Callithrix jacchus: one gene and its partners. The protein of the gene in region 1 purifies or fractionates together with the protein of each later gene. This does not show direct contact. Links are inferred from orthologs where the notes say so. Each region holds a gene or a part of one and is shown in the gene's direction. Other genes may lie near its edges.

Region 1 (6,314 bases):
CCTGTAATCCCAGCTACTCAAGAGGCTGAGGCAGGAGAGTTGCCTGAACCCAGGAGGGGGAGGTTTTGGTGAGCCGAGATCACGCCATTGCACTCCAGCCTGGGTAACAAATGTGAAACTCTGTCTCAAAAAAAAAAAAAAAATGTTCAGAGGTCATTACTACTGAGACTTTTCTGGTAATTTTTGTCACGTAGGAATTCTCCTGAACAATATATTTTAGTATTGCCTGCTTCTGAGTGTTATGAAAATGAATTCACCCAGTATATACATTTTTGTCTTTGGTTTCTTATATTTACCATCTTGTTTGTGAGATTTAGATTGTTTCATATGACTGTAGTTTGTAAATTTGTGTTGCTTTTTAGTATCCCATTGTTGATTGGTAGTTGTGTTGCTGTATAGTACACCACAATTCACTGAACTATCCTACTGTGAATGGACACTTGGGCTGTTTCCAGCTTTTTGTTCTCATGAACAATATTGCTAAGAACATTCTTGTAATGTCTCTGGATAGAGTTGAGCAAGATTTTCTCTAGGGTAGGTACTACTTTCCAAAGCAGGTGTTCCAGTTTACATTCTCAACAGCAGTATGTGAGAATTCCTAGTGGTCTACAAATACTTGTTACTGTCAGAGTTCCTAGTTTTTATTTGAGACAGAGTTTCCCTCTTGTTGCCCAGGCTGGAGTACAATGGCGTGATCTTGGCTCACTGCAGCCCCTGCCTCCTGGGTTCAAGCAATTCTCCTACCTCAGACTCCCAAGTAGCTGAGATCACAGGCTTGCGACACCACGAGGGGGCCAATTTTGTATTTTCAGTAGCGACGAGGCTTAACCATGTTGGTTAGGCTGGTCTGGAACTTCTGACTTAAGTGATCCACCTGTCTTGGGCTCCCAAAGCGCTGGGATTATTGGGATGAGCCACCATGCCCCGCTGTGTTTTTCTTTTTTTGGAGATGGAGTCTCACTCTGTCGCTCAGGCTGCTAGAGTACATTGGAACGATCTTCGCTCACTACCGCCTTTGCCTCCTGGGTTCAAGCAATTCTACTGCCTCAGCCTTCCAAGTAGCTGGGATTACCAGCAACTGCCACCACATTGGGCTAAATTTTTTTTTAAGTAGAGACAGAGTCTCATCGTGTTGGCCAAGCTGGTCTCAAACTGCTGACCTCAAGTCAGGAGTCAGGAGGTCAAGTGATCCGCCTGCCTCGACTTCCCAAAATGCTGGGATTACAGGTGTGAGCTCCCACGCCCTGCTAAAGTTCCTAAGTTTTGCCAATCTAGTGGACGTGGTTTAATCCAATCAATTGAAACTAATGTGCTTGCGCACCTTACATGTTTACTGAATATGGATTTTGTCATTTCCAAAGCAACTATTCAGTAATTTTATCAACTTTTCTATTGGGTTGTCTTTTTAGTTTCTATATATTCTGGATAGCAGCCTTTGTCAATCATATGTGTAACAAATTTCTCCCACTCTGTTGCCTTTTCCTCTTATGATGTATTGTGGCTTTTCCCACTTTTCAGTCGTAAGATAATTCACTTGTAAGTTCAGTCACATACTTAGCATTTTTGGTTCATCATGGAGTTGTTATGTATTTTCAAGGTTAGGTTTTTTTTTTTTTTGGTAGTAATCCAGTCAAATCAATCGCTTCTCGTTAATTCTTTTTGTATCATATATTCCCACCCATTGGTCCTGAAGATATTCCAGAACGTTATTTCCTGCAAGTTCTGGGTTTGCTATTCGCATTCAGGTCTCTGCGCCGCCCAAACTGTGTGTCGCTGTTAGGATCGCTTCATCACCACGTATGCTGGCGACGCCTCTTCCGGCTCTCCTCAGGTGCCGGGATCGCTGGCCTGTTCTTTTATCAGAAATAAGAGATCTATATTTTGTTAATAAAGGAACGTTTTGTGTCCAATAAGGTTTCGTCAATATGCGTGAAAACGCCACATTAAGCTTATTTCGTCTGTGAATACTTAAGCGAAAAAAACACCTCGCCAACAAACTGCCCGGCGACGGACTTTAGGCGCCTCCTTAGTCTCCCCGCTGTCGCCACCACCCTTTTCCTTCTGTCGCAACACGCAGGCGCGCCCGGGCTCACGCGCCGCGCACCGAAGTGCGCCTGCGCCAGGAGACGCCCCGCCCAGTGCCGGCCGAATATAAAATGTGGAGCTTCTCCTCGCGAGAGACTTCGTGTTCATGCTCGCTGCAGGGGTCGGAGGTCAGGGCGAGCGTCTCGCGGGCCGCAGGAGGAAGATGGCGGTGGAATCGCGCGTTACCCAGGAGGAAATTAAGAAGGAGCCAGAGAAGCCGATCGACCGCGAGAAGGTGAAGATCCTTTCCGCTCTGGGGTCCGGGAAGAGGTTAGGGGTGGGCCCGGCAGGGTGCAGAGATGCGGCTTGTGTGCGGGAGGAGGCGGTGTTTTTGGTCTCGGGGCGGCTCGGAGGCCGCGACACCTCGGGAAGGGAAGTGAGGTCCTCGCAGCTGGGGTCTTTAACTTCTGCTCTTCCCTTTTCTGTGTTCCTCAGACATGCCCGCTGCTGCTGCGGGTTTTCACCACCAATAACGGCCGCCACCACCGAATGGACGAGTTCTCCCGGGGAAACGTACCATCCAGCGAGTTGCAGATCTACACTTGGTGAGGGCGGGGGCGGGCTCATGGACCCGTGCCGGGAACCCGGAATATCACTTAATTGCCTTTGCCAGTGTAGTTATTCTCCTTGATTTCAATTTCATTTTTCCACTTGGGGCCTTTGGGCTCGCAAGTAAGAGGTTTCTCTTGTTAGGTGAAAGATTTGCCCGTATTGTAACGCTTTTGTGATTAATGTTGCAACTTTTGGGCGGTTAAGAATTGACAGACCCGAGATTGCTATCATTGTTACAGCTGCTAGGTACAAAAGTGATAGTCAGATAATTAAGTTGTATCCGCCCTAAAGGGACTCATAGTCAAATAAATTGCACTAGGACAACATGGTAAGAGAGAGTGATGTTGTGGAGTGGTATTTGTTATACTCGAGGAGCATTTCCACCTAATATTAAGCCTTAGGTACCAAAACACCAAAAGTGAAAAACTACCAAAACCCGAGTTATTTTCTTGTCTAAGGCTTCATGGAAAAGCTTTTGGTATGTGTTAGTGAAGACTGGTCTCCGAATGTTTCTCTCTTGGGTGTAGCTCCGTACAAACTACTGCAAGCTTGTTTTTAGCCTTGTATATAACTCCTTGGATTGACAGTATAATGGCTTTTTAGTATAAGTAAAAGGTGTGTTCTAAAAAAATGTATATATAAACATTTACATTTACTTAAATAAATATATATAACTGATCCCAAAGGGCCCAATTTATATATACATATATATGTCAGGAGGATTGCTTGAACCTGGGAAGGAAGTGGAGGTTGCAGTGAGCCGAGATTGTGCCACTGCACTCCAAATGTGTTCTCAAAAAAAACATATATATATGTGGTAAACATATGTGTGTATATATATATTTTTGAGACAGGGTCTCACTCTGTTGCCCAGGCTGGAGTGCAGTGGCCTGATCTCAGCTCACTGCAACCTCCATTTCCTGGGTTCAAGTGATTCTTGTGCCTCAGCCTCTCAAGTAGCTGGGATTACAGACACCCATCATCATGCCTGGCTAATTTTTGTATTTTTAGTAGAGATGGGGTTTCACCGTATTGGCCAAGGTGGTCTGAAATTCTTGACCTCAGGTGATCCACCCACCTTGGTCTCCCAGAGTGCTGGGGTTACAGGCTTGAGCTACCATGCCCAGCCTAAAATATATTTTTTATTGTGATAAAAACGTAGATAACAAGCCAGGCACGGTGGCTCACGCCTGTAATCTTGGCACTTTGGGAGGCTGAGGTGGGCAGATCACGTGGGTCAAGGAGTTCAAGACCAGCATGGTGAAACTCTGTCTCTTATTAAAAATGCAAAAATTAGCCAGGTGTGGTGGTACAGGCTTGTAATCCCAGCTACTTGGGAGACTGAGGCAGGAGGATTGTTTGAACCCAGAAAGTGAAGGTTGCAGTGAGCCAAGATTGTGCCACTGCACTCCAGCCTGGGCAACAGAGCAAGACTGCATCTCAGCAAGTATGTATGTATGCATATATTACAAAATTTGCCATGTTAACCTTTTTTTTTTTTTTTTTTTTTAACTTTTTGAATCTCACTCTTGACCAGGCTGGAGCGCAGTGGCGAGATCTCTGCTCGCTGCAACCTCCTGAGTTCAAGCGATTCTCGTGCCTCAGCCTCCTGAGTAGCTAGGATTACAGGTGCCCACCACCACACTTGGCTAATTTTTGTATTTTTAGTAGAGAAGGGGTTTCACCATGTTGGCCAGGTTGGTCTTGAACTCTTGACCTGAAGTGATGCTGCATATTTCATTTCAGTGGACTCATTGCAGTACTTGTCATTTTGTGCCTGGCTTATTTCACTTGTTTCATGGTGTTTTCAGGGTTTACTTATGTTGTAGCATCCATCAGGATTTCCTTCCTTGTTAAGGCTGAATAATATTTCATTGTATGTGTGCGTCACATATGTACTCATCTATTGATGGACACTTGGGTTGTTTCACCTTTTTTACCATTGTGATTAGTGCTGCTGTGAACATTGGCATACAAATGTGTTTGTCTCCCTGCTTTCAGTTCTTTTGAATATATACCTAGAAGTGGTTTACTGGGATGGGATGGGTGTGTGTGTGTGTAAATATATATTTTTTGCCAATCTCCAAATGGTCAGGTAACTAGAAGTTATGTTAATTTTGTTTAATTTTTGAGCACCCACCAAACTTTTTCACAGCAGCTGCACTATTTTACATTCCCAAAAAGATGTATAATTTTAAACTGTGTAAGTCCTGTACACTAGAGCTCAATTCCTTGAAGATTGGGGCCTTACTCATCTTATTTGGAGGTGCTTGTTAAAAGTTACGTAGTAGTATGATACTTGTACTTAAGCATCACTCAAGAGTAAATGCTCCAGAAAGGTTGATTTAACTTATATGGAAGAACTGTTGAATAGTGGCTTGATGAAAAAATCTCTTTTCAGAAATTAAAGTGTATGTTTCTTCCAACAAATAAGAGTTCCTATTTGCCGGGTGTTGTACTTAGCTCCTGAGGGCATAAAGTCAATAAGATACTGCTTCTCCTTGTAGTAAGTCCTTTTATCAGGGAAAGCAGATGAATAAATTAGTGTGATTTTGGGGGTTAAGATGGCAGGGTGAGATTGTTCAACAGACCTTCTACTCTGAATCAAGAAAAAAAATTACCAAAAAATCCTGTCCTAAACTACCCTGAAATTGTAACCAACCAAAGAAGGAATAAGCTTAAGTTATATCGCAAAATGGTTGCCTAAGAAAAGATTCTGAAAGACTGGATGATTGGTGTGGGGGTAACACAAAGGCCCGCCCTCACTCCTGGAAATAGTAATCAGGGAAAATTAGTTAACATATATTGGAAATTCTCAATTGGGAGAAGTAGACTGTGGGGCTAAAGTAGGCAGCCCCAAGACAAGTTACAGAAAGGGAGTGGAAGTCAGAGGAGCCCAGTAGAAGTAGGCTGTGTTCACCAAAGTTTGAGGTGCCCTACGAAGTTTAGAGAACAAGCCAAACGTGCATATCTCCTGTGTGTGGGTAGTCATTAATCAGGTCACTAACAGGGCTCAGCCAGAAAAACAGAATCCGAAGAGATGTGTTAAGAGATATATTGCGGCCGGGCATGGTGGCTCACACCTGTAATCCCAGCACTTTGGGAGCCAAGGTGGGCAGATCACAAGGTCAGGAGTTTGAGACCAGCCTGTCCAACATGGTGAAACCCCATCTCTACTAAAAATACAAAAATTAGCTGGACTTGGTGGCGGGCACCTATAATTCGAAGTACTCAGGAGGTTGAGGCAGGAGAATTGCGTGAACCCAGGATCCAGAGGTTGCAGTGAGCCGAAATCATGCCACTGTATTCCAGCCTGGGCAAGACAGCAAGACTCCATCTCAAAAAAAAAAAAAGAGAGAGAGATTTATTGCAAAGAATTGGCTTACACGATTGTGGGGGCTGTCTAGGCACTTAATTGTCAAATCTGTTGGGCAGGTTCTCAGAAAGGAAAGGCTGCTCTTAGGGCCTACCCAGAAAATAGACGACAGACCCCTGAATTTAAGGTCAACTGGTTGTAGACTTGAATCACATCTACAAAATCTCACAGCAATACCTAGATTAGTGTTTGGTTGAATATCTAGGGACTGTAGCTTCATCAAGCTGACACAAGTACTGAACCCTACCTGTGTCCTCAAGCTTCTGACTAGTGAGAAAGCAACACTCGGCACTCCAATTGT
Region 2 (6,365 bases), about 32 Mb from region 1:
GTGAGCTGTGATTGTACCACTGCATTCCAGCCTGAATGACAGAGCAAGTCCCTGTCTAAAAAAAAAAAAAAAATTGGCTGGGTTCAGGGGCTCATGCCTGTAATCCCACCACTTTGGGAGGCTGAGGCTGGTGGATCACTTGAGGCCAGGAGTTCGAGACCAGCCTGGCCAACATGGCAAAACCCTGTTTCTTCTAAAAATACAAAAATTAGCTGGACATGGTGGCACATGTCTGTAATTCTAACTACTTGGAAGGCTGAGGCACAAGAATGGCTTGAGCCAGGGAAGCAGAGGTTGCAGGGAGCTGAGATCACATCATTGCACTCCACCCTGGGTGACTCAAAAAAAAAATACATACATACATATATATATATATATATATATATATATATATATACACACACACACACACACACACACATATAGTTCTTTTCCCTTTTGGGATCTATGGACTCCTTTAAGAATTTGATTAAAATTTCAAATCCTCTTCCTAGAAAAAAGTACACACATGCATATATTTTTGTAGATGTACACATGCATAAAACTTTGGAAAATATTACAGAAAGTTCGACTACCGAACGTCATCTGTGCATATATTGAGGGTCCACAGACACAAGACCAAGCATTCCTGCTTATTTCAATTTGATTTTTTTTCTTTTTCTTTTTTTTGAGACGGAGTTTCACTCTGTCGCCCATGCTGGAGTACAGTGGCTCGATCCCGGCTCACGGCAACCTCTGCTCTCCGGGTTCAAGCGATTCTCCTGCCTCAGCCTCCTGAGTAGCTGGGACTACAGGCGCACGCCACCATGCCCAGCTAATTTTTATATTTTTAGTAGAGACAGGCTTTCACCATATTGGCCAGGTTGGCCTCAAAACTCCTGACCTTGTGATCTGTCGGCCTGCCTCAGCCTCCCAAACTGCTGGGATTACAAGCGCCCGCCACCACACCTGGCTTTTTATTTTTATTTATTTATTTATTTATTTTTTGAGACGGAGTTTCTCTATTGTTACCCAGGCTGGAGTGCAATGGCGCGATCTCGGCTCACTGCAACCTCTGCCTCCTGGGTTCAGGCAATTCTCCTGCCTCAGCCTCCCGAGTAGGTAGGATTACAGGCACGTGCCACCATGCCCAGCTCATTTTTTGTATTTTTTAGTAGAGACGGGGTTTCACCATGTTGACTAGGATGGTCTCGATCTCTTGACCTCGTGATCCACCCGCCTCGGCCTCCCAAAGTGCTGGGATTACAGGCGTGAGCCACCGCGATTGGTTTTCACCATGTTGGCCAAGCTGGTCTTGAACTACTGACCTCAATGTGACCCGCCCATCAAAGTGCTGGCGTGAGCTACCACGCCCAGCCTGATTTTAATTTGAATTCATTACCTTAAAAATCCCTGGATTTAACATAAAAAATCTAGATTTTAGACGTCGGAAAAAAATGTAAAATATTATCTCCCAAGACTGCAGGCAAGTAGATCACAGTCCTGAGTAGCAACCGCGGTCTCTAGTGGTTACGGTTCTCACATCCATTTCGCTCCATTTTATTACCTGAGAGGACTGGTAGTTTCAAAACCTGGTATATCAGTAACTTTTAGGGAAAACTGCACACACGCACCCCTTCTTCCTTCTCTTTATTTGAAAGGAAACAACGGAAACAAATTTGCAAATCTTTTGCGCCAGTCCCACGGATAGGCGACTAACAAGAGATACAGAGGTGTGGGTCCCAGAGGCGGTACGGTGTTTTCACCCCTTCCGGATAGCTAGTACGACCTACCCACCGCGACTAAGCACAAGGAGTGCTGAACTAAGCTATGCAAAGTTCTGACCAGAAGGTGGAACGGTACTTAGTGAAGAGGATTTATTTAGGAATCGAAATCGGTTTTGCTAAATTAGACAAATCTCATTGTCTAAGGAGCCACGCCCTGTTCGCAGGAGGAGAGGGAAGACAAACCAACGCCCCAGCTCTCCAATGGCACCTCAGCTCTGAACTAGACGCACTCTACAAGGATGCCTGGGTTTCCGGAGCAACCGCCCGGTCCCTCCCCCTTTGGCCCCGCCCCCGAGACTCCTTCCCGCCAAAGGCCGTTATCGCCGCAGAGCATGGTGGGACAAGGCTCTAGGCTAGGTTTCACCAAGTCCTTTCAAGGCGCCGAGTTGCTTTCAGAGATCCTCATTCCTGGGGAAACTGACTGTCCTTCAAGACCCGACCTGGAAGACTAGCTCCTTTAGAGAGAGTTCTTTATTTAACTTTTACCAAACGGCCACTCTATTCGCAAACCACCCCAAGCCGGGAACGCGGGGGACTTTTTTTCCCCCTTCGTGCGGAGGGTGACGTCGCGCGTGCGTGCGCGCGCGTACGTTGAACGTAGTCTTCGCAGCGCGTGCGTGTTGGGATCGAATCGCTGTTTCCTTCCGCTTCTCTTCCTCTGTCTCCCCCCCCCCCCATATCCGTGCGCCGAACTGATAAAGGCGCCATTTTGGAGGGGCCGCGGGAGACGTGGTGCCGCTGCGGGCTTGCTCTGCCGTGCGCTAGGCTTGGTGGGAAGGCCCGTTCTCGAGTCCACGTTTTTCGTCGCCGCCATGTCGGGAGGTGGTGTGATTCGTGGCCCCGCAGGGAACAACGATTGCCGCATTTACGTGGGTAACTTACCTCCAGACATCCGAACCAAGGACATTGAGGACGTGTTCTACAAATACGGCGCTATCCGCGACATCGATCTCAAGAATCGCCGCGGGGGACCGCCCTTCGCCTTCGTTGAGTTCGAGGACCCGCGGTGAGGCGGCATGGGGCTTGCAGCCTTGAGGAAATAGGTCCGAGTGGTCGGGGAAGACTCCAAGGCCTTAATATAGAGAACGGGAAGGCGGGGGCTCTTAGAGAGGATGGGGCGAGACTGTATCGCCCATGCAGGAGTCGAGTGAGGAGCTGAGTTGGTGTGGCTTCTCTGGCGCCTCGCCTTGGACGTCCCCGGAGCCCATTCGCAGGCTGGAGCGGGAAACTGAGGCGCTGAGGGCTGGTGTAGTGGCTGGGAGCCTGGCGTGTTTCTGGGTGGGGGAGGGGTCATTCCCATTATGCGGCGCATGTGGGCTCTTCCACGTTGGGTGCGCATGTGCGGGGGGTTCGCTGGTTCCCGACTGAGCGATCTTCTCCTCCTGGTCTTTCTCATGCCTTTTACTGTCTACGATCCCGCAGGGACGCGGAAGACGCGGTGTATGGTCGCGACGGCTATGATTACGATGGATATCGTCTGCGGGTGGAGTTTCCTCGAAGCGGCCGTGGAACAGGCCGAGGAGGCGGCGGGGGTGGAGGTGGCGGAGCTCCCCGAGGTCGCTATGGCCCCCCATCCAGGCGGTCTGAAAACAGAGTGGTTGTCTCTGGTAAGTCTACCGGTTGTGTGGTTGATGTGAAGGGACGGAAACTACTTAAAAATTTTCTCTTGCGTGACCGGTTTAACAATTGCAAATTTTTCATGCTAGGTCTTAAATTGCTTTAGTTTTTGGGTGAATTTAATAAACGAGGATTGCTGCTGTGGTGATTTACCAAATTAGGTTGCGGTACTAGATACGAAGATCCGTTACAAATAATTTTGGACTCTGGATTCCAGAATCTTACCAGCTCTTTACCTGGTATCACTTAAGTACAACTATTAAGTATTTTAAAGTACTCTTTGTCCTAATGTACCTTATCAGCTTAACGTGAAATTTAAGATAATTGATACTAAGAAAAAAAATCGCTTTTTCAGGACTGCCTCCAAGTGGAAGTTGGCAGGATTTAAAGGATCACATGCGTGAAGCAGGTGATGTATGTTATGCTGATGTTTACCGAGATGGCACTGGTGTCGTGGAGTTTGTACGGAAAGAAGATATGACCTATGCAGTTCGAAAACTGGATAACACTAAGTTTAGATCCCATGAGGTAGGTTATATGCTTATTCTTTTTTTTGACCAGAATTGGATACAGTGGTCTTAACAGTGGAATTTGAAGGTAAGGATTCAGGCAAGGGTGTCCAAGTAAATTGCCAGATTTCTGGTTTTAGTTACATTGTATTCATTCAGCATGCCTGAAGCTAGGTGAAAGCTTAGATCTTTCAATGGAAAGTTCTGTCTATCCAATAGGGAGAAACTGCCTACATCCGGGTTAAAGTTGATGGGCCCAGAAGTCCAAGTTATGGAAGATCTCGATCTCGAAGCCGTAGTCGTAGCAGAAGCCGTAGCAGAAGCAACAGCAGGAGTCGCAGTTACTCCCCAAGGAGAAGCAGAGGATCACCACGCTATTCTCCCCGTCATAGCAGATCTCGCTCTCGTACATAAGATGATTGGTGACACTTTTTGTAGAACCCATGTTGTATACAGTTTTCCTTTATTCAGTACAATCTTTTCATTTTTTAATTCAAACTGTTTTGTTCAGAATGGGCTAAAGTGTTGAATTGCATTCTTGTAATATCCCTTTGCTCCTAACATCTACATTCCCCTCGTGTCTTCGATAAATTGTATTTTAAGTGATGTCATAGACAGGATTGTTTAAATTTAGTTAACTCCATACTCTTCAGACTGTGATATTGTGTAAATGTCTATTTTGCCCTGATTTGTGTGAACTGGGATGTTGGGGATGTTTATGGTTATCTTACCTGGGGAAGTTCTTATGTTTATCTTGCTTTTCATGTGTCTTTCTGTAGACATATCTGAAGAGATGGATTAAGAATGCTTTGGATTAAGGATTGTGGAGCACATTTCAATCATTTTAGGATTGTCAAAAGGAGGATTGAGGAGGATCAGATCAATAATGGAGGCAATGGTATGACTCCAAGTGCTATTGTCACAGATGAAATTGGCAGTATTGACCTTATACTAAAAGGCAGGGGGGTAAAAATGATTATATACATTTTCCTTAAAACACTTGAATGTTTTATTCAGTTACCTTTAGCTACAATTGCTTTACCTTTTAAACCTTGGCAATTGTGGCAAAATTATGTTGCCCATTTTGTAGCAACTTATTTTGCTCCCTTCCCCCCATTTTTGTTATAATAGGGACTAATGTGGGAAGAACTGGCTAATTTGTCGCAGTGCTTAGTTACAACTGTTAATGTGTGACCTGCTGTTGGTGTACATGTGGGTAGAGGGTGTCTTTAAATCCAACAAGATAGAGTATAATATCAATACTGCTAAATCTGCATGTCCTCTGTGTGACTGATAGAGCGTTGCTATTTCATTTTTTTAAGACAAAATGAAAGCAAAATAATAGAGTTCCAATGTATTGGTGTAGATAATCTAGTTGGGAATACTTAGGTCTCACCTTCCCCTTTAATATTCATAATTGATTCATATGTTTAAAACACTTTAATTTACAAATTAAATTGCAAATGGGAGCATTAGATTTAGTTTTAGATTAGGTGGGTAGCAATGCCAGTAAACTTAAATTACATAACTTCTTGCAACCACGAAACCTGTAATACACTGTACAGTAACAAGTGTTGGCATTATCAGTTGAACTGTAAATATAAGATGCTTCTTCCAGTTAGTCTCTATGATGATTAAGTTTCTAAAATTTATCTGAACACCATTCAGAAACTTGTTTTGGGGAATTTGATAGTTATTGATGTGCATCTGTTAAACTGATGACTGACATAACTCATCATTCCCCAGAAACCTTTTTTGATTACAGTATCTAACGTTTTGCCTCCTCTTTTTTGGTTTTGCTGGTTATAAAGGTTTGGATTGGAGAGGGCTCACTGGATCCCAATCCTTGGAGCTGGATCATTGGATTCAAATCATAATGTGGATAGGATAGGGAGGATGAATTACCAGGATTCATGGAGCGGGATCAGATTACCAGGAACATAGGAGTGGATTCCTGCCCCAACCAAACCGCATTCGTGTGGATTTTTTTATTCAACTTAATTGGCTATTCCAAAGATTTTTTTTTTTCCTATTTTTGACGATTGGAGCCCTTAAGATGCACGATGGAATTGTGTTTTGCATTTTTTGGTAAAAGGAGCAAAGCGAGGACCTGGAGATAAACGCTGGAGCAATCTCCTTGGAAGGATTCAGCACGAGTAGATGGTAAACATTTAAAGGGGAAAAGGGGGGGGTTTGTTTAAAATAGTAAATCAGTAAGTCACTTCTAAATTTAAAGAAAACAAAATTGGAGTTGAAGAATAAGTAGGTTTCCAATTGGCTATTGCCATTTTTCTTTGAAAAAATAAACATTTTTTAAAAAACTATGCATGGTTGTCCTTTTTCCTCTTCATGTAAGATTCTAACTGGGTCTGTCAGTTAATCTTTAAATTGTTAAGTAAGATTTTGACTCTTGTGTTTATATGTTAGCAAATTAAAAGTTCTTAAAAGGCAATCTAATGGTATTAGCTATCTT
Region 3 (6,049 bases), on another chromosome or scaffold:
CTGCATCAGGCCATATGTATTTTTTTGAGCTGGAGAATGGGGCCTCAACAAGATGAGGATGGAGGCCACTGGAGGTATTGTGAGACTTCAAGATATAAAATGGGAAAGTGCCTAAAAAATATGGGACATTGAGATTAAGCAGGATTTGGTGTTCAAGAATGAGGGAAACAATGCTGGCATATTGTGGAATCTCTTAAGAAAGGCCGGGAGTGGTGGCTCATGCCTGTAATTCCAGCTTCTGGGGAGGCTGAAGTAGGGGAATCGTTTGAACCTGGGAGTCGGAGGTTGCAGTAAACCGAGATTATGCCACTGCATTCCAGCCTTGAGACAGAGCAAGACTCCATCACACACACACACACACACACACACACACACACACACACAAATAGGAGGAAGGACATGAACATATTATAGGATTTCAGTAGTAATACCAAATGGATGAGCATTGCTTTTCGTTTTTTTTTTTTTTGAGATGAAGTTTCGCTCTTGTTACCCAGGCTGGAGTGCAATGGCGCGATCTCGGCTCACCGCAACCTCCGCCTCCTGGGTTCAGGCAATTCTCCTGCCTCAGCCTCCTGAGTAGCTGGGATTACAGGCATGCGCCACCATGCCCCGCTAATTTGAGCATTGCTTTTCAATCAAAATCCCCTAGTAAGGGAACAGATAGGAGATTGTCTTGATCATAGTCTATACCCATAAATCCTTTAAGTACCTTCCAGCTCTAGAAGGACCAGTAGGACGTATCCTATTGGGATATGTTCTCTCTTGGGACCAGTGGGATTTTCTGTAACAGGAAATTGGGAAATAGCACTCAGTAGTTCTCCCTTGGCACCATTCTGTGGTGTATCGTTTGCTTGGTGGTTTATGCTTTTTGAAGGGAGGCACCCGTGGTCTTCCTTGCTTCTCCATGGTGTGCAGCTCCGCCTTGTTAGGTACTCTGTCAACAAAGGTTGAATGAGCATGAGTAGTGGTGAGTAGCAGGGGGGAGGGTGGGCCTCCACTCTTGGTGTGTATAGAGTAGGATCCTCAGTTCACATAGTGATGGGATGTCCATCCGCAGGAGTGGCCTAGGGGTGTTGGTGAAAGGTCTCTTACCTGGGGTGTTGTGAGGAGGAGGGAGTGCTAGATGTTGAGAGTCTTGGGATGAGAGTTGCTAATTATTATGGGATGCTGTAGAGTGAATTTGACTTCCTGTAAATGTTTCATCTGTCAGCTTGGTATTTTGGTTGGTTGGTGTTCCTTAAAATTTAGGAGCTGGAGGTAAGCATTTGGAAAATACCTGGATTTTGGTGGGATTGGGTGAGGCCTTAGGTGGGCTCCTGGCCCCTGAGTGTCTGGAAATGATGGTATGAGGGAAGCTGGGCTCCAGACATCAGGAGGCTTTTTGCCAGGATACTGCTTTGGCCCAGAAAAGGATTAAGGTGTGTGTGCAAGTGGGGGCGGGGACAGGGAAGCGTGGGTAGCCTGCCTGGCCCTCCCTGCTCGAGGTGTTAGAATAGACTGACAGCGCCTGGAGATGGGGGTGGGAAGAATATGAATATTATGGGATGCCTGGCTTCAAGGGTATAGGGATGGTGGAGTGGAGATGAAGCATTATGGGATGTGACACTGGGTTGTGTTGGGAGTATTATGGTATGTTTGGTTGACCACGGGCGCCTTGCAATTATTATGGGATGTCAGGATGTGGGTAGGAGAGTAAAATTATTATGGGATAGCTTTCCAGTGTTAGAGGAAAAGAGATTAGATGTCTGTCCATCTGTAGGGCGACAGTAGGGCAGTTGATCATTATGGGTTATCTTTTTGATAGAGGGGTACTTATCATAGACTGTGGAACCAGGAGAGGGAAGGCTGGGGGTGTTGTGAGCCTCTAGACCCTAGCCTGCAGGGACTGAGGGCAGCCCCAGGGGGTTAGTTATTATGGGATGTCAGTATAGAAAGTGGGAGACTGATTATTACTGGATGTGTGTGGGAGGAGGCCGAGTGTCCGTTGTTGTAGTATGGGGGGGGGTGAGTTTCTGACTATTATGGGATATCAAACTGGGGGTGGATGGAGGGTGGTTATTATGGGATGTCTGTGGGGGATGGGGATGAGTATTATGGGATATAAGGCATAAGTGCCGGGAGGGCTGCTTATTATGGGATGGCCATGGGGAGGGAGGGGTGATGAATTATTATGGGATGTTAGCATTAGGGCCAAGAGTGAAGAAGTTGGCAAAGGATGGCTATTATGGGATATCTAAGAGGGTTAGTTGCAAAAGGTCTGCAATATCATCAGATGTCAGTAGCCCCTGGCATATATGTGTATGAAATGTGGGGGGGGCGGGGTGTGTGTTTTGTGTATGTGGGGGGAGTGTCCGTGTGTATTATGGGATGGCCAAGAGGTGGGCGGTTGCCCAGGTGACACGCGCGCGCGCGCTCGAAGGGGCGTGGCCAATGGTTGCCTGAGCGACGAGGGGGCGGGGGTTGCCCGGGAGACCTGGGGAGGAGGGTGGCGGTAGTGGGGGGGGGTTGGAGTTGGTTGAGGTTATTATGGGCTGTCCGTGGGGGGGCGGGGCCTGTGCGGTGGGATTTCCCGGCCGGTGTTTCAGGCCCTTTAAGAGGCGACGCCGGAGCCGGAGCCATTTTCCCCCCTTCGGCCGCGGCGAGGAGGAGTCGGAGCGGGAGTGACACCAGGCCGGACCCAGCGCAACCTGCGGCGGCTCCGGGGTGAGGAGAGCGCGGGGTTCCCAAAAAGACGCCCCTCACGGCCGGACCAGCCCGGAGGGTCATCCCGTCACCCGCCCCTTCGTCAAGCGTCCCCCGACCCGCGGACCGCCCCTTGCCCGGAGAAGCCTACCCTTCCTTTCCTGGCCCTGCAGGGCGCCCGGCCTCCTCCCAGCCCCCGCCCTAACCCTGCCAGAGTCTTGCTCCCCGCGACCCTCCGCCTCTGGCTTGGTCTCCCACAATGCCCGGCGCCCGCCCCCTCGCCCTTTGATCACTTGCCCCCCGGGACACACGTGGCCCGGCCCCCTTCCCGGTGGGACGCTCTCGTCCCCCGCGTCCCTGCCTCCGGCCCCCCGCAGTGCCAGAGCCTCCACGCCCCCTCGTCCCCGCACCTCTTGAGGAGAACCTGAGTTGTCCCAGAGGACAGCCTTTGGAGAGCTGCCCTGTCTGGGGACTGGCCCCTCCCCGGGCGCAGGGAGGCGCCCCCCCACCCCCAAGTGACCTTGTGTCCCCGAGCGCCTTGTTGCCTGCCGCCTCCCCTGGCCCGCCCCCCCCCCGCGCCGCTACCACTCGGACCCCCTCCCCCGTCACACCCCGCTCGGTCCAGCGTCTTCCCTCCCCGCGCCTGCACCAGCCTGCCCTCGGAGGCGTCGCTCCCTCGCTCCGTGGGGGCGCCTGCCGGGGAGCCGGCTTCCGGGCTGCCCCCGAGGAGTGTGGAACTAAGTTCAGCCTGAGCGGTTCGGGTGCCCTGCTAGGGTGGCTGAGGTGGGGGGCGGAAAGAGCGGGTGGGTGTGGGGGAAGGGGACAGTGCGCGTCACTGACTGTTCTCTCTTTCTCCCCCCTCCCCCGCACAGTGACTCGGGCCAGTGTAGAGGGCCCCAGGCCGCCGGCAGGAGCAGCTGGGCCAATTCCCTGGCCGGGAGCGGAAGGGGATGGCGTCGGGCCTGGGCTCCCCGTCCCCCTGCTCGGCGGGCAGTGAGGAGGAGGATATGGATGCACTTTTGAACAACAGCCTGCCCCCACCCCACCCAGGTAACATCTTCCCCAAGGGCCCTGGGTGGGAAGGAGGCATTTGGACTCTCCCGAGTGACTTCTCTGGGGAGGCAGGGCTGTGTTGCTCGGCTGTCTCTGTGCAGAGCCGAAGGTGGAGGGCATCCGAAGGGAGTGGTTCCCTTCTGCGGAGCTCTGGTGTGAGGGGGGTGGAAGCCATGTGCCTCCTGGGCACCGCGGACGGAGATGCCAGCTTGCTGCACTCTGTCTTGAGGAATGCTCTGCAGTTCCCAGTTGAGGGAGCTCTCTGGGCTGGCACGCATTACCTTGTGTGTGGGTCCTCGGAGGAATGCAGGTAGTTGGGACCCCTGGAGGCTTGTGGTAGTGGTGGTGGTGGAGGGGGACGTTGAGGATTCTGAGAAGACCAGCCGGGCATCTGTGCTAGTAGAATCTTGTGGTTGCCTCTGTGGAAAGGAAAGAGGGAGTGCTGGTTACGCTCTATCTGATTATTTTTAGCTTCTGATCAGTTACCGGTTTTCTGTGCTGTCTCAACTGTGTGAAGTTTGAATCGCGCTCCTCAGCATGATCTAGAGCGCTTTTAGCCAGGCAGATTGCTGGAATGTTTTGAGTGGGGAAGTGATGGGGGCTTGGAGAGGATGTAATAGCCTAGTGAGGAGAGGCAAAAGAAGGGAGGGCACCCCTCTTCACCTGGCTAGTGGACATAATTCTGGCTTGTTTCCTAGCAGCTTCTGCCTCTGTGAGGTAGCCCGGGGTTTAGGCTGGCAGTGTGAAGTGCCTTGTGTAGGTGTGCTAGAGGTTGCACTATCTGTGTTTTGGGGTGGCTCCGTGAACTGGCCAAACCCGTATGGTTATAACCACCCTGGCTGATTGGGGGAGCCCTTGTCTATTCTCAAATGATGATTGATCTCGCGTTCCTAAGCAGATCTCTTTCTTTTCTGTCTTTCTTCAGAGCCCCTAGCTAAGTCACCTACTTGTTTCCTTGACCTTCATTTTTTCTAGGTTCATTTTTTTTCCTACATGCCACTGCTTCATCACTTCTGCTTCTACTTTTCTTCTCATTCTGGAGCCTGCTGATTCTGTTTTTGTTTCTCATCCAGCGTTCTTCACTCTGCTCTCTTCTTAGCTCCAGTGGAAGTTGCGGTGGTCTGGGAGAGATGCTCTCAAATTTTGCACTTTTTAAGTTGGAAGTCTTTACTTCAACCTGAGGCCATTTAGGAGAGGGGTTAGTCTTGTCATGGAGTCTTCAACTGTTGGGATGAGAAACTTGGTTTCATCCTTGTGTAGGGTAGAGAGGCAGATTTCTGTGCTCTTGCCCAAGGTGAGAGCAGGGTGGTGGTGGTGGTAAGGGGACCCTGTCCTTCTAAGAGGGGCATGAGAAACTGTAGTGCTGCCTAGACATTGTGGGTTCCACATCTTGGCCTCCTATTGGCCCATTGGTCTGGGGCTGCCCTTCATGTTGACTGGGAGCTATGCAGGAGCTGTGAACTCTGTCCTGGGCTGTAGTGTGACCCACTTTTTCCACTTGCCACACCCCATTCCTGTCCCTTTCCCAAATCTTTATCTCAGTCATTTTGCTGTTTGCCGTTTCAGCATATTATTTGCCTGAGAAGTTTGGGGGCTGTATGTGCATGGAAGGATGTCCGCTTTGCCTCCATGGGTTATCTTTGTCTCTACTTCCAGCTTTTATAGGGGTGCTGAGATGTAGCTGGTGGGTGTTGGGGGTTGACTTGGGGGGATTGGTGGGGAAAAGCCCTTAAGAAAATGATTCTTTCTCGTGAAATCCAGACTGGTGTTCCATTCCCAAGGGAATGGGAGGGGCTTTCTTGTGCCTGGTCTCATTCTGGGCTGAGACTCAGGGAGGCTGATGATGCTTTGTCCAGCCTAATGTCTCAGATTCCATAGTATCTATCTAGCTCAGGAAGTGGGGAGCCAGAGACATTTTAGGGCTAATTCTGGCTGGTCAAGAGTTAAGAGCATGTCAGGGATTGAAGGAGGGATATATATAGATATAGAGATAGATATATACATTTTTGAGACGGAGTCTCACTCTGTCACCCAGGTTAGAGTGCAGTGGCTCGATCTTGGCTCACTGCAACCTCCACGTCTCAGCCTCAAGCGATTCTCCTGCCTTAGCCTCCTGAGTAGCTGGGATTATAGGCACCCACCACCATTGTCAAACTAATTTTTGTATTTTTACTAGAGACGGGGTTTCACTATGTTGGCCAGTCTGGTTTCGAACTCCTGACCTCAAATGATCCACCCGCCTCATCCTCCCAAAATGCTGGGATTACAGGCATAAGCCACTGTGCCTGGCTGGGATATTATTTTCTATTAC
Region 4 (6,215 bases), about 4.9 Mb from region 1:
AGAAGTAGGTGAAGCCTGGTAGCCCACATCTGTTATCCCAGCACTTTGAGAGACTGGGGCAGGAGGATTGCTTGAGCTCCTGGGCTGGGGCCAGGGTCTAGGGTCCTCAGTAAGGCTTCTGAATAAAACTAAGTTTAATTCTTTAAAAGCTTGTCTTTCTTTAGTCAACAAGGTTTTACATTCTCTTATACTAAATCATTGAAATCTGTGTGTATTTTACAACAAAGCCAGTTTGAGGGCACTGAACGATCCTTTGTGGAGTGAGGAAGATATGAGAACTTACATTTTATTCAGCTTTATAACTATTTAATATTTAGAGTAATACCAGCATCCTTACTAGGCACATTTATCAGGAGGTCAATTATCTGGCATAGACAAATTCTGGTGCCAGCGTGAGATTCACTCTTGGAGAAGGCTGCATTTACTTGTTCATCCTTGAAATACTGCAACCCACTGATTTCTTCATAAAAGGACGCTCTGGTTTTAATTAAAATTAACCTTCATAAAAGGAGAGCTTTCAAGCACTCCTGGAAAGAAGCCATGGGTTAAAGATGTGCCCAGCGATGCAAGCCAGGTTTCTGACCATAAGAAAGGGCAGAGCTGGGCACCATGGCTCATGACTGTAACCCCAGCACTTTGGGAGGCCGAGGCAGGCGCAGTATGTGGTCAGGAGTTCAAGACCAACCTGACCAACATAGTGAAATCCTGTCCCTACAAAAAATACAAAAATTAGCTAGGCGTGGTGGCACATCCCTGTAATCCCAGCTACTCAGGAGGCTGAGGCAGAAGAATCACTTGAACCTGAGAGGTGAAGGTTGCAGTGAGCCGAGATGGCACCACTGTATTCCAGCCTGGGCGACTGAGTGAGACTCCGTCTCGAAAAGAAAAGAAGAAGGAAAAGAAAAGAAAGGATAGCGCTGGCACTCGCGGATATACAATTTCCCCAAAGTTAGAAACATGATTCTCAACACAACATGAACTGCCCTTCAAAGACGGTGGAGCTGCTTCAAAAAGGCATGAGAGGAGGTTGGTATGTAGACGCACTTAAAGAAGTGTCAGATAAGAAAGCGGGTTAGGGGCTGCGCACAGCAGTGGCACCTGTGGTTCCAGGTACTCTGGAAGCTGAGGTGGGAGGATCGCCTGCGCTCGGGAGATGGAGGTTGCAGTGAGCCGAGATCGTACCATGGCACTCCAGCCTGGGCGACAGAGTCAGACCCTGTCTCAAAACAAACGAACAAAAAGCAGGTTAAAATGCCTAACCGGTTAACGTTCTGCTGGGCAATAAAAAAACCACCCCTTCTGGGTTATCTCTACTGCAGGACACACATTATTGGCACCTTATACACAGACCCGAGGCCTTCATTAAGAGTAAATTGGAGGCTCAGCTTGTATTTTACTTTGTAACAGCTGCTTGCTGCGCGCAGTGGCTCACGCCTGTAATCCCAGCCCTTTCGGAGGCCAAGGCGGGCGGTATCACCTGAGCCCCAGGAGTTCAAGCCCAACCTGGACAATACTGGGACAGTCCCCCGACCACCGTCTCTACAAAAAATTTTTAAGTTAGCCAGGCGTGGTGGCACTCGCCTGTAGTCCCAGCTCCTCGGGAGGCTGAGGCAGGAGAATCGCTTCAACCCGGGAGGCGGATGCTGCAGTGAGTCCTGATCCCACCACTGCACCCCAGCCTGGGCGACGGAGCATGACCCTTTCTCCAACATGCCAGGCAAACGGCGAAGACACACACAGGCGGGTCCCCCAGGAAGGACGCCGGCGTCCGGGGCCCTGGTTCTGCCCAGCGCGGACCCGCCCGAGCCCAGCGCCGCGCCAGACCCACACCGGCGGCCGTGAGGGTTTCAACCCGCATCATCCCCCCGGCGAGCTCGGCGCCTCCACTACGGGTCCGCGACGCCATCCACCCACCGCGGGCCGAGAGGGGACCCGTGCCCGTCTTTTTTGCTTGAGGCGGGGCCGTCTGAAGACGATGCCCGGAGCGGAGGCACCCTCGCGGCCCCCAGCCTGTTTCCAGGGTGTTCCGGTCCACAGGCCGCTCGAAGAACCTCAGCGCAGGGATTAGTAGAAACCCACAGCCACCACAAAACGCCACCAACCCTGAAAGTCCCGCGGCCTCCATATCTTTTATAGGGAACCGGGTGCCCCGCCCTCAGCGAGATCCCGCGGGAACTGCATATCGTGCGAGAGCAGAAACAACTTCCATTTCCCTGCGGCTTACGCCCTTTTTCCTTTCACGCCCCTCCAGAGGCGTGGCAGCGGCGCGCGCACGCACGTACGTACGTACGCACGTCTCACGCTTTCGCACGCTAAGGCGTCAGTTCCTCTTGGCGGCGGCTGCACGGGGCTTCTTCTATTGCTTTCCGCTGCTGCGCGCGCTGTGCTCTTCCGAGCACTCAGAATCATGGCGGCCACGGCCACGATGGCGACCTCTGGATCGGCGCGGAAGCGGCTGCTCAAAGAGGAAGACATGACCAAAGTGGAATTCGAGACCAGCGAGGAGGTGGACGTGACCCCCACGTTCGACACCATGGGCCTGCGGGAGGACCTACTGCGGGGCATCTACGCGTACGGTGAGCGGGCGCGGGCCGCGGGTTGGGGGCAGGACTGGCGACTCCCCGGCCGGCCCCGCGCTCCCGAGGTCGTGGTCAGGGCCGAGGCTCGGGGACCAGGGACGTGCGACTCCCGCTCCGTCCTTGTCCGCGCCCTCACACCTGGCTGTGTCGGCGCGTTCGGTGTGTGTCCACTGTGCAGAGCTCCGCGTGGGTCCGACGGGGGCTGCAGCCGCTTAGAGGCACATTAGCGTCGTTCATTGAGCACATAACTGTTTTGTACCTACCAGCTTTTCTAGGAACTGGGGTTTTGGCGGTAAACCAATTTCTGAATTTCGTTGGCGGGGACAGCATAGGGTCAGGTTGCTTAGGCAGTGGTTGTTGCTGTGAAGACCTGAAGCAGGGTAATTGAATGTAGTGGAACTGCGAAGGAGGAGAGAATTAGTAAAGCAGAGAGGTAACGGGGTTCGCAGGAGGGGGTGCCATTTGAGCTGAGGTTTGGATGAAGGAGCTATTAGGAGAAGAGGGAAGAGCATTTGGGGCAGAAGGAACAGCCGGTGCCCTCCAGGAATTGAAACAGGTGGGATTTTGTAAAGTTAGGTAGGGGCCAGATCTAACAAAGACGTGTAGGGTGACGAACAGTTTGAATTTCATTTAGAAATCCAGTGGGAAGCCACTGGAAGGTTTTAAGTAGCTACGTGACGATCAGATTTATAGTTTAAAAGATTCTTTTGGGTGTCCCGTGAATTTCAGGTGAGGTGAAGCGAGGCAGGAGAGGAAACAGGGAGACCAGTTGGGAGCTTTTCTCTAGTTCAGGGGAGAGAGGGTTGTGCTGCTTTGGAGATGGAGTGCCAGGGAGCTGACAGCATTGGCTGATGGACTGAATGTGAGTGACAGAAGGAGGAGGACTGGAGTGTTTTGAGTAACCGGTGGTTGATGCTGCAAACATTCGCCTAGGTGGGCAGCACTCCAGAGAGTCAGCATCAGGAACTTTGTCTTGATCTGTTTGAAAGGTCTGTGGACGTTTAGAACCTGGAGAAGGGGTTGGGTTGGGCACTAGATGGGAATTACCAGCATCTGAAATAAATGGTCTGTGTTTAATGCTTGGGACAGGGATATCTTTTGTTCTGTAGTTCTCTTTCTTTTCTTTCTGACGGTCTTTCTCTGTCGCCAAGGCTGGAATGTGGTGGCATGAACTTGGCTCACTGCAACTTCTGCCGCTGGGGTTCAAGTGATTCCTTAGCCTCAGTCTCTAGAGTAGCTGGGATTATAGGCATGCACAACCATGCCGAACTAAGTTTTGTATTTTTAGTAGGGACGGGTTTTGCTGTGTTGCCCAGGCTGGTCTTGAACTCCTGACCTCAGTGATCCACCAGCCTCAGCCTCCCAAAGTGCTGGGATTACAGGTGTGAGCCACCCCACCTGGCCTTATCCTGTAGTTCTTGATGCCACAACAGTTTGGACAAAGTGAAGCAAAGTTGCAGAGATGGGTGGTGAGAAGGTATTGTAGCCAAGCCTCACAGTGAGGCTGAGAGCCCCCACCTGGTTTCCTGGCACTCAGGCGATCCCTGCCCTAAGGCACTGTTGTTAGATTCCCATCTATATGCTGCTGTTTGTGAAGAGTTTAAATCATCTGCTATATTTGCTTTTGTGTTAAGATGGGAAATTGTGCTACTTTTTCTTTTCTTATTTTTTGCTATGCCCCAGAACTGAGCAAAGCTACATTTAAAAGGCTACCAAAAAATAATTGAAATAAGAGTTTTTGTACATAACGTTTTATTTACTTGAAAAACATGTAGTCCTTCAAAATAGCCTCACCCCTCTGTGTGGTAGTTGCTTTGCAGGAGAGATGGTGGTATACTGAGTGAGCTGCGTCCAGACAGGAGAACAGCTTAGGACACCCCGCAGTGTGACCCAAGCAGATTAAGAAGAGTGTAGGCCTGTCAGCCACACACAGACTTAATGCTAGCTAGGAGGAGAGAACAGTGGCTACAGTGACTTTCCTGGTCTTTTTTTTTTTTTTCTTAAAAAGTAGTGTAGGTTGTTTGTAATAGAGTCAAACCTAGAGAAGTAATTAGAGTAAAGTAAGCTTCTTCCCACTTCTCTGCTGCAGTACTGCCGGGAACATTTTGGCACTTAAACTTCCAGATGCTGCGCACCCAAAAGATTTAAAAAACAACAAAACAGAACTGGGGTCTCTGTATACTACACCTTGGTGGTGCTGTTTAAATAGAGATTTGTCTTTACAAATGACATCCCATGTTAGTGTAGAAATCCTCTCAGCCCAGTTCATTGAGCCTCTGGGGCTTCAGAGCTTGCTATGTTGAACATTGGGTTAGGCTGGAGGGCGGGTTCAAAAAGCAAACCATGTCTGCCCCTGACAAGCTCACAGTACAGGGTTTCTTTTTTTTTTTTTGAGACGGAGTTTCGCTGTTGTTACCCATACTGGAGTGCAATGGCACAGTCTCGGCTCACCGTAACCTCCGCCTTCTGGGTTCAAGCAATTCTCCTGCCTTAGCCTCTTGAGTAGCTGGGACTACAGGCGCGCACCACCATGCCCAGCTAATTTTTGTACTTTTTGTAGAGACGGGGTTTCACGTTGTTGACCAGTATGGTCTCGATCTCTTGACCTCGTGATCCACCCGCCTTGGCCTCCCAAAGTGCTGGGATTATAGGCGTGAGCCTCCTCGCCCGGCCAGTATAGGGTTTCTATGCTGTCATTGTGAGAGCTAATTTTCTGTTTTATTTCAGGTTTTGAAAAACCATCAGCGATCCAGCAACGAGCAATTAAGCAGATAATCAAAGGGAGAGACGTCATCGCACAGTAAGTCGTCCTGCTGTCAGCACAGGCTGGATGCAAGTCGGGGCAGTACAGTTAGATGCTCTGGGATGACCGTTTTCCTCAGTTTCTACACGTTCAGTACCAACGCTTTCCCTGACTTTAGCCACAGGGTTTAATAATTTTTAAATTTGTGTTCTCTACTCTAGAAGGCTTTCATTTTTTTTTTTTTTGGAGACGGAGTCTAGCTCTGTTACCGGGGCTAGAGTGATCTCGGCTCACTGCAGCCTCCGCCTTCCAGGTTCAAGTGATTCTCCTGCCTCACCCTCCCCGAGTAGCTGGGATTACAGGCGCCTGCCACCATGCCCGGCTTAGTTTTGCATTTTTAGTAGAGACAGGGTTTCAGCCTCTTGGTCAGGCTGGTCTTAAACTCCTGACCTCAGGTGATCTACATGTCTTGGCCTCCTAAAGTGCAGGGATTACAGGTGTGAGCCACTGTGCCCAGCCGAAGGCTTTCATTTTCTTAGCCAGCTTTGCTTAGTGGTTTTTGGTGTGTGGAATTGTATGTAACACAATTTCGGAAAAACAGACTGTGCTTTGCTTCTGCTCTCACACCACCACCACAGTCATCAGCACAGAAGAAGACTTCTGTGACCAGAGGTGTGGGGGTTTTCCAGCTGGGTGTCCTTCAGGTCAACTCTCATACCATCTGCCTGGAGGTGGGCCATGTCCCACAGGTCAAGGGCTCAGTCTCACAACTGCCCTCTTTTCAGATCTCAGTCGCAAGTCTGGACGTCTAGAACTTGTGACCAACCAGCTTCAAGTTGAGGTTCCCACGGCCCCCTCTTTAGGTTGGATTGATTTGCTGGAGCAGCAGCTCA
Region 5 (5,608 bases), on another chromosome or scaffold:
TTTTTTTTTGGTAAAGGAGTTTTGCTTTTGTTGCCCAGGCTAAGTGCAATCGTGTGATTTCAGCTCACCAAAACCTCCACCTCCCGGGCTTAAGTGATTCAGCCTCCCGAGTAGCTGGGATTACAGGTGCCCACCACCACACCCAGCTAATTTTGTGTTTTTAGTAGAGACAGGGTTTCTCCATGTTGGTCAGGCTGGTCTAGAACTCCCGACCTCAGGTGATCCACCCTCCTCAGCCTCCCAAAATGCTGGGATTACAGGCGTGAGCCACCACACCAGGCCTCAACAGTCTTTTAAACAATGTTAGGGCTGGGTTGCTTAGTAGCATGGGTTTCTCATACAGCCTATTTTGGGGCAATTTCTCAGAAATAGATCATCGCAGGACATTCAAGTCTGTGTTAAGGCCACCAAGGTTTACTGGGATTGTGCTTTCTTTCCTCCACCCACAGGAGTTTGAGAAACTCTCTGATTTCTTCAAAACTCACTATCGCCTTGAGTTAATGGAGAAGGACCTTTGTGTGAAGGGCTGGAACTGGGGGACAGTGAAATTTGGTGGTGAGTCCTGGGGAGGACTGAGGTTTGGGGAAGAAGATAGCCTGAAGGGTGTCAGCCTTTGACTTGTTCTGCTCTTTTCCCTCTGCCAGTGTCTCTGGTTTCCTATCTGTTTGCACGTTCATCATGAGTACTGATTATTGGGTACCTACAGTGTACTGGGCACTGTGCCGGGAGTTGGATTACAGTGTGAACAGACTCGCCCCGGTTTCCCATCTCTGTGGACCTCGGGTTGGTGGGAATGTTGCTTATGCAGGGGAGCCTGCGGCTTGATAAGCCCTTTCCTCACAGGGCAGCTGCTTTCCTTTGACATTGGTGACCAGCCAGTCTTCGAGATACCCCTCAGCAACGTGTCCCAGTGCACCACGGGCAAGAATGAGGTGACCCTGGAATTCCACCAGAACGATGACGCAGAGGTGTCTCTCATGGAGGTGCGCTTCTATGTCCCTCCCACCCAGGAGGATGGCGTGGACCCTGTTGAGGTGAGGCTTCCCCTGGCTGCCCTGGCAGCAGATGTTGCTGAGCAGGCGGTGGCTGGCCTGGAAGCGGGGCCTGCTGCTTGGTCACCAGTGTGTACTTTTATAGGCCTTTGCCCAGAATGTGTTGTCGAAGGCGGATGTAATCCAGGCCACGGGAGATGCCATCTGCATCTTCCGGGAGCTGCAGTGTCTGACTCCTCGCGGTCGTTACGACATTCGGATCTACCCCACCTTTCTGCACCTGCACGGCAAGACCTTTGACTACAAGATCCCCTACACCACAGTACTGCGGCTGTTTCTATTGCCCCACAAGGACCAGCGCCAGATGTTCTTTGTGGTAAGCAGAAACCCCGATGGCTGCGTAATCCTGGTTTTTTGCCTAAATGTTTAGGAGACGGATCTCACTGGTGTGCAGAATTCTGTGTTGGTTAATTGCAAATTGTTGTAGAGTGTCAGTTGGTACTCTTCCTTACTAGATCAGCCTGGATCCCCCAATCAAGCAAGGCCAAACCCGCTACCACTTCCTGATCCTCCTCTTCTCCAAGGACGAGGACATTTCGTTGACTCTGAACATGAATGAGTGAGTGTCTCCCAGGATTCTCCTCCTGCCACTGTCCAGGCAGGAGACAGGTGTACCATTAGAAGGCAGTAGTGCTGTGACCTCACCTTTGCCGTCTTTGTAGGGAAGAAGTGGAGAAGCGCTTTGAGGGTCGGCTCACCAAGAACATGTCAGGATCCCTCTATGAGATGGTCAGCCGGGTCATGAAAGCACTGGTGAACCGCAAGATCACGGTGCCAGGCAACTTCCAAGGGTGAGTGTGGGCCTGGGATCCTGGCCTGGCTGGGTATGGGAATTCCGTGTCTCCTTGGTAACCCCCCCCCGAGATGGGAGTGCAGCCTGTCAGAGCCCTGGATGGGACCTTGTGTCATGACAGGTGTCAGTGCTTCCGTCTGCACAGCTCAGTGACGTTTACTTAGTCAAGGACATGAGCACACATGTCGCCTCTGTTAGATGTGCCCTTTGTCTCTGCTGAGGTTGGCACTAACCGGGCTTCCTGCACCCTCTGTCAGGCACTCAGGGGCCCAGTGCATCACCTGTTCGTACAAGGCGAGCTCAGGACTGCTGTACCCGCTGGAGCGGGGCTTCATCTACGTCCACAAGCCACCTGTGCACATCCGCTTCGATGAGATCTCCTTTGTCAACTTTGCTCGTGGTACCACGACGACTCGTTCCTTTGACTTTGAAATTGAGACCAAGCAGGGCACTCAGTATACCTTCAGCAGCATTGAGAGGTGAGCACCGCCACCCGTCACTTCCTGGGCATCCTGGTCCTGAGTCAGCTTTGACCGGGAAGCCTGGCATGGTCTGGGGCACTCTCCAACCCTAGAGCAGGAGTTTTCTTTTGCTACATCAGGATTTGGTCTTTATCCCTGGACTGCTCAGACTTGAGAGGCCTCTCCATTGCTTTCTTTCTGGTTGTTAAAAAAAAATAGTTCCATATTCTGAAAGCTATATGACTTCACTACTGGCCTCTTTTCTCCTCCACTCCCCGCCATGATGGAAATGCTATCTCTGTCTTTCCTGGAATGAGCTTTGTGCCCGAGAACATAGCGGCTAATGCTTATTGAGTGCTCACTGTGCACTAAACGTTTTATAAGCATCTTCACGTGTAATCCTCATATCAACCTTGTAAAGAATGAAAAAAGATGCCAATATCCCATCCCCCACACTTGCTCTCCTCTGAGCTTATTTGGTAAACAGGTGTGCACCCCTCCCTGCCTTTTCTTTCCCAGGGCTCTTCAAAGCTATGCATGTTCCTCTTTCAGGACTGTCTGGCTCTGCCTTACTGCTGTCCTCTGGGGGTTTCTAAGCTGTGGGCTGGGTAGCATGGTCAAGGGCTCTAGGCTCCACAGTCTACCCCAGCTCATGGCAATCAGAACGTTGTTTAGCTCACCCCTGTGTTGGCCCTACCTGTCTGGTAACATGGTGCGTGTCCCCTCACAGGGAGGAGTATGGGAAACTGTTTGATTTTGTCAATGCGAAGAAGCTCAACATCAAAAACCGAGGATTGAAAGAGGTACTTCTGTGTGGGGAGGATGAAACCCTCTCCTGATCTTTCTGTAGGGGAGAAAGGGGTAGAGATTTTTCCGGCTTCTTTTTCACTCTCTCTTCTTTTCTTACCCTTATAGAAAAAAGAGGTGCGTGTGACCCTTTCCCCTTCCTGGTGCAGGTTTCCTCTGCATGACCTTAGACCAGTCTATGCAGCCCCTCGGGAGCCCCCAGTGGGGCTGGGAGAGGGAGGGGCTTGGGGCTTGGACTAACCCAGTTCGCAGGAAGTACTCGGGCGTAGGCCCTGCACGTTGGCTGTGTGTGGACAATCCAGCCCCAGGTCTTCTGGGAGCTGCTGCTCTGACTTGACATGGGGGTGTGCTTTTGAGTGTGCAGGGATTCGGGCTCGAGGGTGAGTCGGCCCCACTCTCAACTCTTCCCTGGCTAGGGCATGAACCCAAGCTATGATGAATATGCTGACTCTGATGAGGACCAGCATGATGCCTACTTGGAGAGGATGAAGGAGGAGGGCAAGATCCGGGAGGAGAATGCCAATGACAGCAGCGATGACTCGGGAGAAGAAACTGGTGTGTTAGCCTCTGTGCTGAGCATGGGGATGGTCAGATGCTCCTCACTGTGGCCAGGGCTGGAGTCACCCTTGGACCAGAGCTGGGTGCCTGGGTGAAGGTGGGATTTCCATTGGTTCAGAAGCTGATGCATCCTGTGTCCTTTTTCAGATGAGTCATTCAACCCAGGTGAAGAGGAGGAAGATGTGGCAGAGGAGTGAGTTTTGGTGGTACCTTGGGGGGATAAGGTGCTGACCCATAAGCTTAAAGGACCACAAAATTTCTGGACAATTCTCATGTCCCAGCATTAGCTACTGACCCAGAATGGGAGAGTGACCTCCAATGAGGTGATACATGAAAATGTTTTGGAAATTGTCCAGGGCTTTGTAAGTACAAGGCATATTTTGAAGTCAGAAAAGCATAGTGGGGTCTATGGCCATACCACCCTGCAGGTGCCAGTTGTGGCTGGTTAGTACTTGGATGAGGAGAGAATGGGAATGAGAGCTGGTGCTTGCCATTTACTTGCTGGATGTTGTCGAGTAAGTCATTGAATCTCAATTTTCTCATTGGTAGAAATGCATTGGTTCTCCTGCAAAATTGGTTAAGACTTTTTATTAGCAGTGTTAGAAATGTGACTCACTCTCGCTTTAAAAGAGAACATATAAAAGGGAATTTCATAAGTTCACGTTACTGCAGAGTGTGGGGCTTCTGACACTATTGGATTCAGGCACTCAAACCTGTTTCTTCCAATTTCCTTAATTCAAAATAGGTTTGCGCCACGGGGTGCCCAGCAACTTGCAGAAGCTGAGGGCAGGCTTAATCCTACTGCTTTAAAACAGCACCAGAAGTACCTCTTTTGGTGAACAGCGTAGTGAACAGAGTGGTTACCTGCCCCTTCCAAGTCTGAGTTATTAGGATGGACAGGGCTCTGATGCGCCAGAAATAGGCCAAGTGCCCACCCTTAGAGCCTGTGGTTGGGGTTGCCCCCACTCTGGTGGTTCCCAACAGAATATTGGGAGTCTGCTCTCTTAATCCAGAAGTATTGCAAAAGAATGTCGGGCACCAAAAAAACCCAACAGGGGTCCACTAGTTCAGCTTGCCACATGCTTATGAAAGTTTAATGAGCAAATACTTGCGAAAGTGCCTTGAAAACTGTCCAGCAGCATATTCCATTTTTGAGAAGTTTCACATATATCAAATAAGACTGTCAATTACAGGGGTCTGTACTGGGTCAAACTGAAGTTGGTTTTCCTCTTTCTGTAGTAACTGATTATTTTTTATCAGAAAAGACTGTAGGGGCCGATCCTTTCATAGTTCATAAACATGATGGCTGGGTGTTCACGTGCGTGTGTGAAGCATGCCATCCTCCAGCCTTGTTATGACCTCGGCACATTACCCATCTGACAAGAGAAAAAAAAAAAAGACTGTAGGGTAGATTAAAACGATTACTCCAAAGGAAGTGGTAAAGTGGATTTTGGCTATGTTCCAGGCAAGAATGAGGCAGTGTTTCTGCCCATGGGGTCCTGGGGATGGACATGGAACCGGTTTGGCCATGCCCAGGGAGAGCAGCAGAAGCCCACTGATTGATTTGTTTTTCATTAATTAATTCATCAAGTAAGCCATTACTGTGGTTGGGTCTGGAGAGAGCATGGTTGACGCCACCTGAGTGAATGGGAGGAAGCAGTGTTAGGGATGGGTGGTGCACGCTGTCCTCTGGCCTTCCTCTCTTGCCCCTTTTGGGTGGGTATCTTTGGATTTGTTTTCCTCCTGTCCCGAGGCCGTGGGATGCTGTCCTTCCTCCCCAAGTCTAAGCCTGGCTTGCCCTCTGGTAGGTTTGACAGCAATGCCTCTGCCAGCTCTTCCAGTAATGAGGGTGACAGTGACCGGGATGAGAAGAAGCGGAAACAGCTCAAAAAGGCCAAGATGGCCAAGGACCGCAAGAGCCGAAAGAAGCCTGTGGA

Evidence for each region.
Region 2: the proteins of SAP18 (region 1) and SRSF1 purify together in Homo sapiens (co-immunoprecipitation; 4 studies listed by BioGRID and IntAct, with this or other methods). This does not show direct contact. The link is inferred for Callithrix jacchus from reciprocal best matches to the Homo sapiens genes SAP18 and SRSF1.
Region 3: the proteins of SAP18 (region 1) and CHD4 purify together in Homo sapiens (affinity purification with mass spectrometry; 3 studies listed by BioGRID, with this or other methods). This does not show direct contact. The link is inferred for Callithrix jacchus from reciprocal best matches to the Homo sapiens genes SAP18 and CHD4.
Region 4: the proteins of SAP18 (region 1) and EIF4A3 fractionate together in Homo sapiens (co-fractionation; 3 studies listed by BioGRID and IntAct, with this or other methods). This does not show direct contact. The link is inferred for Callithrix jacchus from reciprocal best matches to the Homo sapiens genes SAP18 and EIF4A3.
Region 5: the proteins of SAP18 (region 1) and SSRP1 fractionate together in Homo sapiens (co-fractionation; 3 studies listed by BioGRID and IntAct, with this or other methods). This does not show direct contact. The link is inferred for Callithrix jacchus from reciprocal best matches to the Homo sapiens genes SAP18 and SSRP1.

The regions. Positions count from the first base shown.
Region 1 is NC_133506.1:140,822,210-140,828,523, forward strand, and holds the start of SAP18 (histone deacetylase complex subunit SAP18), read left to right. Parts: upstream 1-2,179; 5' UTR 2,180-2,191; coding exon 2,192-2,320; intron 2,321-2,520; coding exon 2,521-2,630; intron 2,631-6,314. UniProt on the Homo sapiens protein: Component of the SIN3-repressing complex. Enhances the ability of SIN3-HDAC1-mediated transcriptional repression. When tethered to the promoter, it can direct the formation of a repressive complex to core histone proteins.
Region 2 is NC_133506.1:108,328,306-108,334,670, forward strand, and holds the start of SRSF1 (serine/arginine-rich splicing factor 1), read left to right. Parts: upstream 1-2,455; 5' UTR 2,456-2,578; coding exon 2,579-2,772; exon of another isoform or gene 2,773-3,188; coding exon 3,189-3,373; exon of another isoform or gene 3,374-3,738; coding exon 3,739-3,911; exon of another isoform or gene 3,912-4,111; coding exon 4,112-4,298; exon of another isoform or gene 4,299-4,671; coding exon 4,672-4,694; coding exon of another isoform or gene 4,695-4,710; 3' UTR 4,711-6,365. UniProt on the Homo sapiens protein: Plays a role in preventing exon skipping, ensuring the accuracy of splicing and regulating alternative splicing.
Region 3 is NC_133510.1:20,794,190-20,800,238, reverse strand, and holds the start of CHD4 (chromodomain-helicase-DNA-binding protein 4), read left to right. Parts: upstream 1-2,595; 5' UTR 2,596-2,706; exon of another isoform or gene 2,707-3,468; intron 3,469-3,557; 5' UTR 3,558-3,635; coding exon 3,636-3,735; intron 3,736-6,049. UniProt on the Homo sapiens protein: ATP-dependent chromatin-remodeling factor that binds and distorts nucleosomal DNA. Acts as a component of the histone deacetylase NuRD complex which participates in the remodeling of chromatin.
Region 4 is NC_133506.1:135,889,376-135,895,590, reverse strand, and holds the start of EIF4A3 (eukaryotic initiation factor 4A-III), read left to right. Parts: upstream 1-2,322; 5' UTR 2,323-2,407; coding exon 2,408-2,576; intron 2,577-5,306; coding exon 5,307-5,379; intron 5,380-6,215. UniProt on the Homo sapiens protein: ATP-dependent RNA helicase. Involved in pre-mRNA splicing as component of the spliceosome. Core component of the splicing-dependent multiprotein exon junction complex (EJC) deposited at splice junctions on mRNAs.
Region 5 is NC_133511.1:114,900,286-114,905,893, reverse strand, and holds part of SSRP1 (FACT complex subunit SSRP1), read left to right. Parts: intron 1-449; coding exon 450-555; intron 556-843; coding exon 844-1,034; intron 1,035-1,137; coding exon 1,138-1,368; intron 1,369-1,507; coding exon 1,508-1,611; intron 1,612-1,714; coding exon 1,715-1,843; intron 1,844-2,102; coding exon 2,103-2,324; intron 2,325-3,036; coding exon 3,037-3,109; intron 3,110-3,529; coding exon 3,530-3,668; intron 3,669-3,818; coding exon 3,819-3,864; intron 3,865-4,949; exon of another isoform or gene 4,950-5,053; intron 5,054-5,479; coding exon 5,480-5,608. UniProt on the Homo sapiens protein: Component of the FACT complex, a general chromatin factor that acts to reorganize nucleosomes. The FACT complex is involved in multiple processes that require DNA as a template such as mRNA elongation, DNA replication and DNA repair.